Macaca fascicularis: one gene and its partners. The protein of the gene in region 1 interacts with the protein of each later gene in a pairwise test. Links are inferred from orthologs where the notes say so. Each region holds a gene or a part of one and is shown on either strand. Other genes may lie near its edges.

Region 1 (4,161 bases):
TGATAAGCTAAAAAAAAAAGAAGTCCATGCATAACTTTTGTTCTATCAGCCACCACAAAAGGTCCATGCATAATTTTTGTTTTATCAGCCACCACAGATAAGTAAAAAGAGTCCTCCCATTCAAAAGGTTAGATACCAGTGTTCTAAAGGCTAACAAATGGAATGAATGAAGCAAAGGCAACCTTCTCTTTCCAGGAAAATCTGAAATTATTCTTCCTTTTATCCATCAGACTAGCCTAAAGGAAGTCTGCTCTCTTCTTGGAATGACATATTTCATGCAACATTCCATTTCTATTGTGTTCATTTGGACACTCAGAACTGCTGAAAACTGATAAATTATGGCAACTATATTAAATAGTACATTACTGAGCTCAGGCCAACAACTTCTTGTAAAGAAACAAGTCTATTTATAGTGACTGGAATCCTTCAATATAACTATTGATAACTAACATCCTGGGCATACTGTGTCTCCAACTAATAGGTTCCGGAGTGGTTGGGAATTAAGAGACAGAAAAGAGGCAATGAGATCTCCCTCAAGTGCAGCCTCAGAAGAATTGGAAATGCATAAGAGAGATTTATAAAACACAACGCTGGTCCCCCACTCCATCTTAAAACGTCGATACTTTTAGCCATGGGTAAGTTGATGTATCTATCCCCATAACCCTTTCTCCTCCTGACCCCCATCCTTCTCTAGGGACCTACTGGAAGGAAGGAAATTTGGTAAATCTATGTGCTGAGAGATAAGTGGCCATGTAATGAGGTAGGTTAACAACAATTGTTCCTGTATATATTGTTGGCACACACAAATGTGTTTGGAGTAGGAGCTGATAACTTCTTTGGACTTGAATTTTTTCTGTCAGCAATAGGAGAGAAGTTCAATCAGATGATTTCTCTCTACCTGTGGAAATCCAACTTTGACTTGTGGTGACCCTACCCCTTCCTCAGTCTTTTACAAATTAGGTGGCCTCCTCACCTGAGATGAGTAGAACTGTATGCACAGTAAGGCACCAGGACAGATCTAGACTGGCAAAGAAGTGGTGAAAGAAATGGGGAAAGGGTTAGGGAAGAATGGAGAGGACTCTAAACTACAGTCATAGTGAGACCTTGAGTGCCTCTGGGTTAGTCCTTCGTCTCCCTCTACTCCTTGTGTCTCAGCTGAAGGGCAAACTTCAGGGACGATCTCATTTTGTTTCAACCACTGTTCAGGGTCCCACCTTGCGACCCTGTCCTGAGAGGTTGTCCACAACTCTGTCCCACCCCCGTCTCCATCTTCTTCCGCCAGATCTGGGGCAGGGGGATTGGAGAGGGGAAAGAGGAAACGTCGTTGCTGGCAGGGTAGGGAGGGATGCGTGTCCAGGTGAGGAAGAGGTGTGACGTGAAGGTGGGATGCCCGCCGCTATGACGCAGCCGAGACCCGCGGTGACTGCGTCAGAGTTTCACCCGGGGAGGTGAGCAGCAGCGGGACGGGGGAACGGCGGGGTAGCCAAGCAACGCCGGACGCGCTGACGTCGCCGGGGCGGCAAAACGTCCGCCCGGGCCCGAGGCGGGCGGAGGCAGCTGTGGTTACGTGCGGGGGGCCGGTGACGCAGTCGCGGGGCGCTGGGACGCGACTTGCGGAGCCGGCCGGCGGGGGCAGGCCCCAGGCTCGGGCGCGGCGGCGGGACAGCACCTACCTTCCCGGCTTCGGGTCCGGGAGTGCGGGGCGCGGAGCCGCCGGAGCGCTGCCTCCCTCCTTCCTCCTCCCCTCGCCCCCGCCCCGCGGCGCGACACACAATACTCGCCGGAAGCGGAAGCCGCGCCGAGGCTCGTGTCAGTGGAAGCTGGGGTGTCGGCAGGCGGCAGCGGCCGGGTCTAGCGGTGGCTGCGGAAGGAGGAGGTGGAGGAGGGCTGGCGATGAGAACCAGCAGGAGGAATCAAGGACAAGAAGGGACCCAGAGGGGCAGGTGGCTGAGATGCTGGCGTCCAGGTGACCCGAGGAATCCTCTGGAGATAGAGGCCCGCGCATGCGCGTGCTCGAGCGCTGAAGCCCATGGCCCGCAGGGCGCTGGACGGGCGCCCCGGCCGGCGAGGCTGTCCCGTCCAGGCTCCAGGCCCCGGCTCTGGCCAGGCGCCGCCGCTCCCCAGTGCAGCTGAAAGTCGACGAAGAGGGCGGGGCGAGGGCGGCTTGTGGACTTCCACACTTTTCCTCTCTTCGGGCCAGTCCGGGGAGAGGGTGGCTAGCTGTGGCGGCGGCCAATTACGTGGCGGACCTGCGGGGGCTCAGCTGGCACGTCACTTCCGACTGGTGGAGTTTTAGCCTTTTAACATTCAAGGATTAGGTAAGTTCTCCCCCGGGTAGACTTCAAATACTCTTTGTCCTGCCCCTGCTTGGCGAAGTTTACCGAAATTATCTACCTACCCCGCTGGAGTGGGAGCCGGGAGAGAGCTGGAACCGCGACTCTGCTGCTCACCTTTGTGTCCTTAGCTCCTTCGCATGGGGTCCGACCGCAACACGTGCGCTGGATAAACGCTGGTTAACTGGGTGAGAGCCCAGGCCTGTTCTTTCTTCTGGGGCTGTGACTTGAGTTTCTCCGCAGGAGCAGATAGTGTTTGTGTAGGGACTGCGGACTTTTACATTACAGCCTCCCTGCTTTGCTCGCTTGCTGCTGGAAGCTTAGCAGGTCCTGTGATTTTGGAGGAAGTGGGTGAGGTGATGAGGCCAGGAAGAGTATGCTGGGAGAGGTGTCAGGGGCCCGGGAAGCGGTGATGGGGCTGGGGAGGGGTTAGTAGTGGGTAGAGGTGTGAAGAGGCTGAGGAGGAGGGGTTAGTGCTAGGAGGGGTGTGACACGGCTGGTAGAAAAGATAGCTTGCTCCGCCTCCCCGCCCCCAGCACTAGTCCTGGAGAACATTGATTGAAAGAGATGAGCAAATTTTGATGTGCTCTCCTTGGTGAGAAAGTGCCCTAATTTCCGGTGTAAGTTGTGCTGCTGTTTACAAACACCCTGCATTATTTAACCTCTCATCTTGGGAGCCAGAAACTATTTACTTGTAGAAAATATCCAGTATCTAAGGTATAAAGATTTGGGATCACACATGCTAATTATAGTTGTCTACCTTTATTATTCCTTTTTTTGTGCCAACAATTGAAGAGGATTAAATTTGAGAAAATTACATTTGATACCTTTTTTTCACATTGCTATGTAGCCATTAGGGATTTTAGCAGCAGCAGTTGTTCTAATTCACAAGATGCCTCACTTGTAAGGGTAGTTTGAAAGCCACTAACTGGGCGGTGAGCCTCCTTAGCCTTGGCTTCGGAGGGAGAGTGAGATTTGGTTTTGATTTGTTAATTTGTGGCGCATAAGATGTTGATAACCCTCCTTTCTGGCGTTCGGTTTGTAAATAACCAGGAGGATTGTGATTAGACTAAGGAAATTAACAAGAGGAGGTCCAATTCTAAGGATTATGAAGAATGAGCTTGCCTAGAGACTGATATTAAGGGGATTTTACGGGCCGGGCGCGGTGGCTCAAGCCTGTAATCCCAGCACTTTGGGAGGCCGAGACGGGCGGATCACGAGGTCAGGAGATCGAGACCATCCTGGCTAACACAGTGAAACCCCGTCTCTACTAAAAAATACAAAAAAACTAGCCGGGCGAGGTGGCGGGCGCCTGTAGTCCCAGCTACTCCCCGAGGCTGAGGCAGGAGAATGGCGTAAACCCGGAAGGCGGAGCTTGCAGTGAGCTGAGATCCGGCCACTGCACTCCAGCCTGGGCGACAGAGCGAGACTCCGTCTCCAAAAAAAAAAAAAAACAAGGGGATTTTACGCTGAATATGGAAGGAAAAAATGGAGACTGCCTAGGTAAAACTATAAAATTATGAAGCGCAAATAGTATGACATATAACAGGGCTTGGCAAATCTTTGCTGTAGAGCCAGAGAGGACATCTTTTTGGCTTTGTGGTCCATACTGAACTTTCTTCTTGGAGTATGAAAACATCATTAGACAATACTAAATGAAGGCTGGGCGCGGTGGCTCACGCCTGTAATCCTAGCACTTTGGGAGGCCGAGGCGGGTGGATCACCTGAGGTCAGGAGTTTGAGACCAGCCTGGCCAACATAGCGAAACGCTGTCTCTACTAAAAATACAAAAATTATCCGGGCGTGTGGCGCGCACCTGTAATCCCAG
Region 2 (4,268 bases), on another chromosome or scaffold:
CCATGCCACACCACCCTTGTGGCAGGACCCTGGGGTCAGCGGACAGCAGAACCAGCCTCGCCCTGGCCACTCCATGCCAGGCCCGGGGCTGTGCAAGTACCAAGAGCTCATGGACTCGCGGTTCCGCCCTGCTGAGCCCTACACCAAGGAGGGTTCCATAATCCACTTGGCACAGTGGCCTGGCAGAGAAGCCCTTTCTGCCAACCTGCTCGGATGCGTCTGTCTCGCCTGTCTCCTCTCGGGCCCCTCCCGTGAATTCAGGGACTGTGTCACTTTCCATGTCGTAAGTCTATTAAAACTTCCTGGAGGCCAGGCTCTCAGTTCAAGCCCTGTACTCCTCTGGCTCTGCTTAGATACTCGGGCAGCCCTCCCTCCTCGTCTCGAGGCTTAGCTTCGTGCCCACCCCTGCCTATCTAGTCCTCCCACAGCGCAGCATCTTGGGTGGAAGAGGAGATGACTCATGAAGACCCATCCCAGCCCCATCCGATATCTAGGTCTTTCCAACAAAATGGCATTTCCCAGGGCACCTCACCCCAACCGGTCATGGACCCTGCCCGCCCTGGGCAGCCACAGGGACCCTTCTGCAACCTCAGCCAGGGAGCGTCAGCATCACTCCACTGCACGACGCCCCCCCACCACGAAATCCTAAAGCCTCCCTCGGCCGGAGAGCCCTTCCCGGCCTGGCCCACTGCCCTCCCCTGGCCTGGCTCCCCTGGGCTCCCCGCGGTTCTTCCCATACCCCAGCTGCTCCCCGCCGCAAGGCCCTGCACTGTCTGCGCCTTATGCCCACAGTGTTCTCCTGCGGGGAGGGAGGAGGACAGGGGATCTGGAAAGGGCTAGAGCTGCCACAGGGAGAGAAGGAGGGGGCTGATTTCCCCACGGCTGAGTCTCACTGTGTCCTGGGAGAGGCCTTCCCAAACCACCTGATGGCGTCTGCTCACCCTCCTTCAAGGCCCTGGGTACCGCCTGAGCCCTCCTCTGAGGTCTGTTGGTTTATTTGTCCATCAGCTCCCTCTAGAAGGTGAGCCCTGGGACAGCAGAGGCCTTCTCCTGTCCACCACTGCAGCCTAAAACAGGACTTGGTGCCCACACGCCCCACACACCCTGGATATCCAGTCTCGCTCCAGAGAGGACCTCCGCACCCCTTCCCTTCCCGAGTCTCCCCTCTGACCTTCCCCTCTCCGCCAGGCTCTGGGCTGACCCAGCCATCACCCTGATGCCCTGCATCCTTCCTGTCACGCCCAGTCCTAACCCCATCCACTACTGGTTGAATCAATGAAGGGCTCCCCCCATTTGTCCACTTCTCTCCCTGACCCCCCTCCCTCTCTCACTCAGCCTTTGCTCTCCTGCTCTCCCCTAGGAACCCTGAATTCCTCGCTATGCCCCTACCTCCATCACCACCCCACCAACCCGTGATTCCCTGACCCCCACTTCCTGCCACCTCCCTGCCTCTCCTCCTACCCCCTCCCAGCCCCCACCCCTTCACAATCCCTTCCATTATTGCTTACAGACCCCTACCCTGGCTGCCTGGCTGACCTCCTTCCTCAGTCACTCTCCATCAGTCTCCACCACCCCCTGGCCAGCCAGCTCCCTGCAGCAGCCCCAGCTCTTCCAGCTTCCCTTTTCTCAGCCCAGCAGCCCTCAGCCTCGCACCCTCTCCAGCGCCACTTCTTTCCCGGCCCTCCACCTGCCCTCCCAGCTGGCTCAGCCCTGCTCAGGCCCTTCTCTCCAAGTCCTCCCTAGACGATCCGGAAGCCTGCCCGGCACTTATCTCCTTTCCCCTCCCCTCTCACCTCCATAATCCACTTGGCACAGTGACCTGGCAGAGAAGCCTCGCAGAGAAGGCCTTTCTCCCAACCTGCTCAGACGCGTCAATCTCGCCGGTCTTCTCCTCTCAGGCCCCTCCCGTGTCACAGTCCATCTGTCAGAGTCCCTCACCTCCAGTCTCCTCACACACCTTCCTCAGCCCCTCCCAGGTGACTGAAGACGCTACCCACCCCGGCCTCCTTGGCCTTCCAGACTCTTCCTGGTCTCCCATCAGCCTCCCACGTGCTCCAGATCCCAAGTCCAGAACCCCTCTTCCCATGGATGCCTCAGAACAACTCTCCACCACCCCACCCCACAGTTGTGCGTCTTCCTCCAAGCTCAGCTCTCATCCATGGTCACCTAGATTCCCCCAAATCATCCCGGCCACTTAAGGACCAGCCGGGTCCCCAGACCTCTCCCTTATCACCCGTCTCAGAACTGATCATCCCTTTTTTCCCCCAGGGTCGCTCCACTGACCCCCAACTTCCTGCAGCCCCGCCGCCCTAATCCCCCGCCACTGCCTCGGACCCTCCTGCGGCCCCGCCCCCGAGACATCCCCTCCCACCCGGCCCCCTTGCCCCGCCCCCTGCGCATGTTCCCCTCCCCCCGCCTCCCTTGCCCCGCCCCCGGCTCACACCCGCCCCCTCCTGCCCTGACCCCAGATCTCTCTCCCCTCCCCCTGACGCCCATCCTCGGCCCCGCTTGCCCCGCCCCCGGAGCCTCTCCCCCTCCCCTGACTCTCGGCTGCCGCTCCCCAGCCCCTCGCCCTCTCCGATCTCCCGAGCCGCCCGAGGCCCCAGACCCCTCTCCCCGGCCGCCCCTGCGTTCCTCACGCACCCCACGGACTCTGTGAGCTTCTGACCGGGTCCCGCGCTCTTGAACTTGATGTCGGCCTTGAACTCCTGAAAGAATTTCTTCATGGTGGCGGCTGGCCCGGCGGCGAGGGGCCGCGGGGGCGGGGGGCACAGGGCCCAGTCGGGGAGGGGCCGCCCGGGACCAGCCACCGGAAAAAAAATACCGCGCCGCCGGAAGTCCCGCCTTCCCGAGGCCGACCACGTGACAATAGGCTAGAAGTGCCTCTCTAGCGCTCGGTGCCTCGCTGGCCCAGGCGGCCGCTCTGTACGCTGGAGCCGCATCTCTGTGGTTCTTCGGGACTCCGTTGCCAGGGCGACGAGTGCGCCTCTCGATTAGAGTCAGTGCCTTGCCTGGCAGCTTCCGTGGCGCTCCCCAAACGGTGACAGACGGTGACAGGACGACTGAACCTCGCAGAGAAAGCACTGGGCCCTGTCCCTTTCGCTGCTCAACCTAAGCTGGGCACGGTGGCTCACGCCTGCAATCACAGCACTTTCGGAGGCTCAAGCGGGAGGATTGCTTGATTCCAGAAGTTGGAGACCAGTCTGGGCAACATGGCAAAACCTCGTCTCTATTTAAAAAAAAAAAAAAAAAAAGTAAAATAAAATAATAGCCGAGGGTGGTGGCGCGCACCTCTGAGCTACTTGGCAGGCGGAGGCGGGAGGACCACTTGAACCCAGGAGGTCGAGACTGCAGTGAGCTGTGATCAAGCCACCGCATTCCAGCCTGGGCAACAGAGAGAGACCCTGTCTCAAGCAAAACAAACAAAAATCCAACCTTCCCTGTCTCCCCAGAGCTTACGTGATAAAGTCCCAATTTAATGTGGGGTATTGGAGGCCCCCACCTTCTGGCCCTGTTTTGGTCCCTGAAGCCCCCCACCCCACCCCACCAACACCACCACCACCACCACCACCACTTACCCTAGGTAGAAGCTGTTTAAGAGGATGCATCCGATTGGGACCTGGGGATCCACTTTGGTGAACAAGACAGAGAAACCAGTTAATAGTGGCGTACTTTGGGCTGTGCGATTCGCAAAGAAGATACACAAAGTGACAGTTAAAACAAGCCTCCAAAGAAGGGAGTTGGGGGTCAGACGTGGTGGCTCATGCCTATAATGCCAGCACTTTGGGAGGCCGAGGCCGGCGGATCATTTGAGGTCAGGAGTTTGAGACCAGCCTGGCCAACATTGTGAAACCCTGTCTCTACCGGCGCCGGTAATCCCAGCTACTTGGGAGGCTGAGGCAGGAGAATCGCTTGAACCCGGGAGGTGGTGGTTGCAGTGAGCGGAGATCTCACCACTGCACTTCAGCCTGGGCAACAGAGGGAGACTGTGCCTCAAAAAAACAAAAACAGGCCGGGCGCGGTGGCTCAAGCCTGTAATCCCAGCACTTTGGGAGGCCGAGACGGGCGGATCACAAGGTCAGGAGATCGAGACCATCCTGGCTGATACGGTGAAACCCCGTCTCTACTAAAAAATACAAAAAACTAGCCGGGCGAGGTGGCGGGCGCCTGTAATCCCAGCTACTCGGGAGGCTGAGGCAGGAGAATGGCGTGAACCCGGGAGGCGGAGCTTGCAGTGAGCTGAGATGCGGCCACTGCACTCCAGCCTG
Region 3 (4,263 bases), on another chromosome or scaffold:
GGCACGAGCAAACACTGGTGGTCTTAATGTCAGAGAAGGGAAAGAAATTAGGACTTAAAAGGAACGGCCTTGACAGTTAAAGTACTTGTAGGAGTGGGAAAGTGCAGAAAGGTGTTTGTTGTTGTTGTTGTTGTTTTGGGTTTTTTTGAGATGGAGTCTCGCTCTGTCACCCAGGCTGGAGTGCAGTGGCGCAATCTGGGCTCACTACAACCTCTGCCTTCCAGTTCAAGCAATTCTCCCTGCCTCAGCCTCCTGAGCAGCTGGGATTACCGGCGCCTGCCACCACGCCTGGCTAATTTTTATATTTTTAGTAGAGACAGGGTTTTGCCATGTTGGCCAGGCTGGTCTCCAACTCCTGACCTCAGGTGATCTGCCTGCCTTGGCCTCCCAAAGTGCTGGATTACAGGTGTGAGCCACCATGTCTGGCCAAGTACAGAAATATTTTGAACACAGAACTATAAAATCTGGAAGAAGTTATTTTAGCAAATGTCTTCTGAGGGGACAACTGTGTGTAAGACTGGATAATGACTGAAGATGAAGTTGCCTTTGGGGGGTACCTCACTTCAGCCTGAGACAAGGGTTGACTTGAGGTGAGAAGGGTATGAAGTGGGGTGGCAAGGGACAGGTTCGCAAGACCTGCGGAAGGAAGAGCCAGCAGACCCCAGGGACTGGCTGGCTTCGAGGCAGGTGACAAGGAAGCAGAGAAAGTCATGAGAGAGAGAGCTCTTCACAGCCTAAAGTTAGGCAGCTGGAAGAACATGAGTAAAGAAGGGAAGCTGCTGGACAGGGAACAATACAGAGCCTGATTTTGGAAGTGTCAAATCTGGGAATATCTATATCGCACTGTCCAGTGGCCATCTAGAGATGGGGTTCTGGGGTTCAAGAGAGAAGAGCTGAAGATTAAGCATAGGGGTCTTCCCAATGGACAAAGAGTTGTGAGACTAAACAAGATTTCTCTGGGAGGGAGTGTAATGAGAGAAAAAACAGAATGTCAAACTGAAGCACCAGTGCGCCCCCCACCTAGAAGGTGATCGTGGAAAGGGGTGTTTAGAATGGAAAACCAAGACAGTCTGATGCCAAGAAAGGAAGGGGGAGAATGTCTCATGGGAGAGAGTTGTCAACAGCAAAAAATGCTGCTAAATCAATTATGGGGACTGAACACATATTTGTTGAACAAATGAATGAATGAAAGCAAGCCAGTCCTTGGTTTTGAGTCATCTCTCCTCAGTCAGAAGAATGGGCAGAGTTACCTTCAGACAAAAGAATTTCAATAAGTTTTACTTCATCCTTCCCATAAAAACACATTTCTTCCTCCACGAGTCATCCTGTCCACCACGCAGACATCCTTCCCTGCTTCCCCTGGTTCCCTCATCTTCCTTCCCAGTTTCCGCAACCCAAGCAACACACCTTCGGTGTCAAGGGAGACAGGAAACTCCAACTAGAGTTTCCACTTCATTAACAACTCTGCCTGTGGCTCCTCTTACATAAGGGGATATGTGGCAATGGGGTGGGAGAGGAGGCTGAGTTCTAGCCCCAGCTGTGCTCCTAACTAGCTGTGTGACTTTGGACAAGGTGCTCAACCTCTTGGGATCTGGGCTTTGACATGGAGAGGAGGACAAAGATCCATCTGGAATCCAGATAAGTTTTGAAGGTCCCTTTGAGCTCTCAAGTCTACGATTTTATTCCCAGCAGGTCCTTGCAACACCCTCAAAGAAGGAAGTGAGTGTAAGACCCAGAAAAATGACCGACAGACCTCTTTCCGGGGCGAAATGCCAGGGCAAGCGGGGTGTACCATGAAAGTGAGAAAGCGTTGAGAAACCGGCCTCGAGAATCACCAGCGAGCGATCTCACTCCCACAGCTAGGAAGGATCCCAACAATTCCGAGGGTGACTCTCACCCCGCACCCCATCTTTTATAGACTCCCAGACGACCGAGAGGCTCTAAAAACCCCTGCGGGAAAAATAAAGATTTCTTTCCCAGAGTCCTGCGCTGCTTTGCAAGTCGGATTCCGGCAGACACGATCTGCAGCCCGATAATGACACAGTCTTTGGAAGGAGCGACTGTTCTCGCCCCGCTCGCTCCAAGTTCTGGGGACGCCTGGCTGCCCGCGCCGTGCCCCGACGGGCCGGTGTCCGACCCCGGCCGGAGCTGCCAGGCCAGCGGCGCCCTCGCCCCGGGCCCTCCCCGCAATCCGTCGGCCCCGCTGCGGTCTGCAAACATTTCCTGCCCCCACCCCCACCAGGAGCTTCCCAGTTGGAGAGAGTTGGTCGCGCAGCCGGCTCAGTGCTCGCAGTTGCCCCAACTCAGCTCGCCCGGCGCTGGGGAGCGGCCCCGTCTGGTTGCGGAGCAGGCTATCGGGGAAACCCAAGCGCCAGCACCAGTGGGGAGTCTATCGGTAAGCCTAGAGCTCGGGCGAGGAGGGGGACAACTGGCGGGGTGCCCGAGGCCCTGCTCCCTTCCCCGTCGTTACCTGCTCGCTTGCGGGGGTGTCCCGGGGCTGCCGGCCTCTCCCGCCGCTGTCTCCCCACGCAGTTGCCCATGCTGGCTCCTCAGCCAGTCCCCATGCACCGGAGGCGGCGAGGTGGTCGGCTGCTCCGCGCTCCTGCCCCGGACGGCGGCGTCCCGGGTCAACGGCTCCGGCCGCCCGGCATCTGGCGCTCCCCGATCTCCCCCCGGGGGCGCGCTCAGCCCCGGCGCTGGCTCCGGCAAAACTTTGCGGGCCAGGGGAGAGAGGGAGGTGGCAGACTCCCTAGCACAGTCCCAGGTGGCCGGGCCAGGGGGGCCCGCGACGGTGCCCGGCCGGAGACCAGCTCCGCTGGAGGGGCGGAGAGAGGGGGCGGGCACCGCCGCAGCTACTCCCGGTCGCTCGGGGCTCCAGGCAGGGGCCGGCCCCCTGGAGCCTGTCACTCACCTGCCTAACCCCGCCCCAGGCCGGCCCCGCTCCCCACCGCCGGCTCGCGGTGCCCGCGCCGCCGCCACCACCCGCCCCAGGTGCGCATGTGACCGACAGCACCGCCCCCTCGGGCTGGGCCTGATTTTCTCATTGGCTTCCCCCGTGGTGCGTACCGCCCCTCTCCCCACCCAGCCAGGTGCCCGCCCCGCCGCCCGTCTCCCGGGGAGCCGGGCCGGGAATTATTCGCCCTCAATGGCCTCCGGCTGCGTGCCCAGCAGCCGCCTTCCCTCTCGGTGCCGCCGCCCCATTCCAGGCCCCGCCCCTCCATGGAACTGCCTGGCTAGAAGCCGGTAGGCACGTGACCCGGTGCGCCCCGCCCCCTTGGCCTTCTCCCCGCGATTGCCTCGGGAGGCGCATGCGCGGAGAGGCCCGTCTCTTGCCACCGCCCATATCCCCTCCCACGGTCTCTTGTTCGCGTCATGGCCGCCGCCGCGGCTCTGGAGGCGGCGGCGCCTACGGGCGCCCTATGGGGCCTCGTGCACGACTTCGTCATGGGTCAACAAGAGGGCCCCGCTGACCAGGTGGCTGCAGGTACGGCAGACGGCGCCGCGCGCCTTCCGCATGGGGGCCAACAGGAGGGAGCGGCCTCGGTACAGGCGCCGGGCGGGAAAGGAGGAGCGGGTGACTTTGAGAGATTGGTCTCAAGGCTGGTTAGTGAGCACCGCGAGCTTCAGAGCCGTAACAAGTTGGAGAGTTGCCTGTGTCTTCCTTAAAACCATTTACACTTTTCATCTCCCTATAGCCAATTATAGGGAATTATTACATTTTACAGATGAGGAAACTGAGGCTCAGCGAGGGCAAGAGGACTTGCGCAGGGCTGCAGACAAGGCAGGAGGGGGAGCTGGGACTCGGACCCAGGCGTTCACGTCCGAACCGGGTGCTCAAGCCACGAAGCCACGCTGTTTGTGGGAGGTTGACGTGTGGAGGTGCATCCTCGCAGCGTCCGCTCCCGTCGCGTGGCATCCTGGGAGTGGCGGATGGCCCCGCGCTCTGACTGGCTGGAATTAAGAGGAGGCGAGGAGTCGGGCCAGGAGGAGCTGGAGATGTTCTGGGTGTCCTCCTTAAGACTTTCTCTCCGTTTCTTGCCAAAGTTCTTGATTAGTTTGCTCCATGACGTTTTATGTGGCGTTTGTTTTTATCTTCTTCCCAGACCCCCACTTTGCCTGCTTTTGACAAGTTCAGAGATCTCTTAGTTCAGACAGCTTATCTAAAATTAGAATAAAACAATTTCCAGGCTTCCGTGGAGTTCTGAGACTTTGCTCTTCTAGGAAAAAAAAATCTACTAAAAAGTTATTGAATGTTAGGAAGGC

The links.
Region 2: the proteins of TRIM39 (region 1) and UBXN6 interact in binary tests that used the Homo sapiens proteins (3 or more experiments, as listed by UniProt). The link is inferred for Macaca fascicularis from reciprocal best matches to the Homo sapiens genes TRIM39 and UBXN6.
Region 3: the proteins of TRIM39 (region 1) and UBTD1 interact in binary tests that used the Homo sapiens proteins (3 or more experiments, as listed by UniProt). The two-hybrid records come from large-scale screens. The link is inferred for Macaca fascicularis from reciprocal best matches to the Homo sapiens genes TRIM39 and UBTD1.

The regions. Positions count from the first base shown.
Region 1 is NC_088378.1:142,319,893-142,324,053, forward strand, and holds the start of TRIM39 (E3 ubiquitin-protein ligase TRIM39), read right to left. Parts: upstream 2,812-4,161; 5' UTR 2,451-2,811; exon of another isoform or gene 1,782-2,450; intron 1,780-1,781; exon of another isoform or gene 974-1,779; intron 1-973.
Region 2 is NC_088393.1:5,196,616-5,200,883, forward strand, and holds the start of UBXN6 (UBX domain-containing protein 6), read right to left. Parts: upstream 2,843-4,268; 5' UTR 2,727-2,842; coding exon 2,644-2,726; intron 1,880-2,643; exon of another isoform or gene 1,794-1,879; intron 1-1,793. UniProt on the Homo sapiens protein: May negatively regulate the ATPase activity of VCP, an ATP-driven segregase that associates with different cofactors to control a wide variety of cellular processes.
Region 3 is NC_088383.1:106,450,497-106,454,759, reverse strand, and holds the start of UBTD1 (ubiquitin domain-containing protein 1), read right to left. Parts: upstream 2,843-4,263; 5' UTR 2,541-2,842; coding exon 2,471-2,540; intron 2,396-2,470; exon of another isoform or gene 2,252-2,395; intron 1-2,251. Other genes in the region: MMS19 nucleotide excision repair protein homolog, read left to right, coding at 3,373-3,484. UniProt on the Homo sapiens protein: May be involved in the regulation of cellular senescence through a positive feedback loop with TP53. Is a TP53 downstream target gene that increases the stability of TP53 protein by promoting the ubiquitination and degradation of MDM2.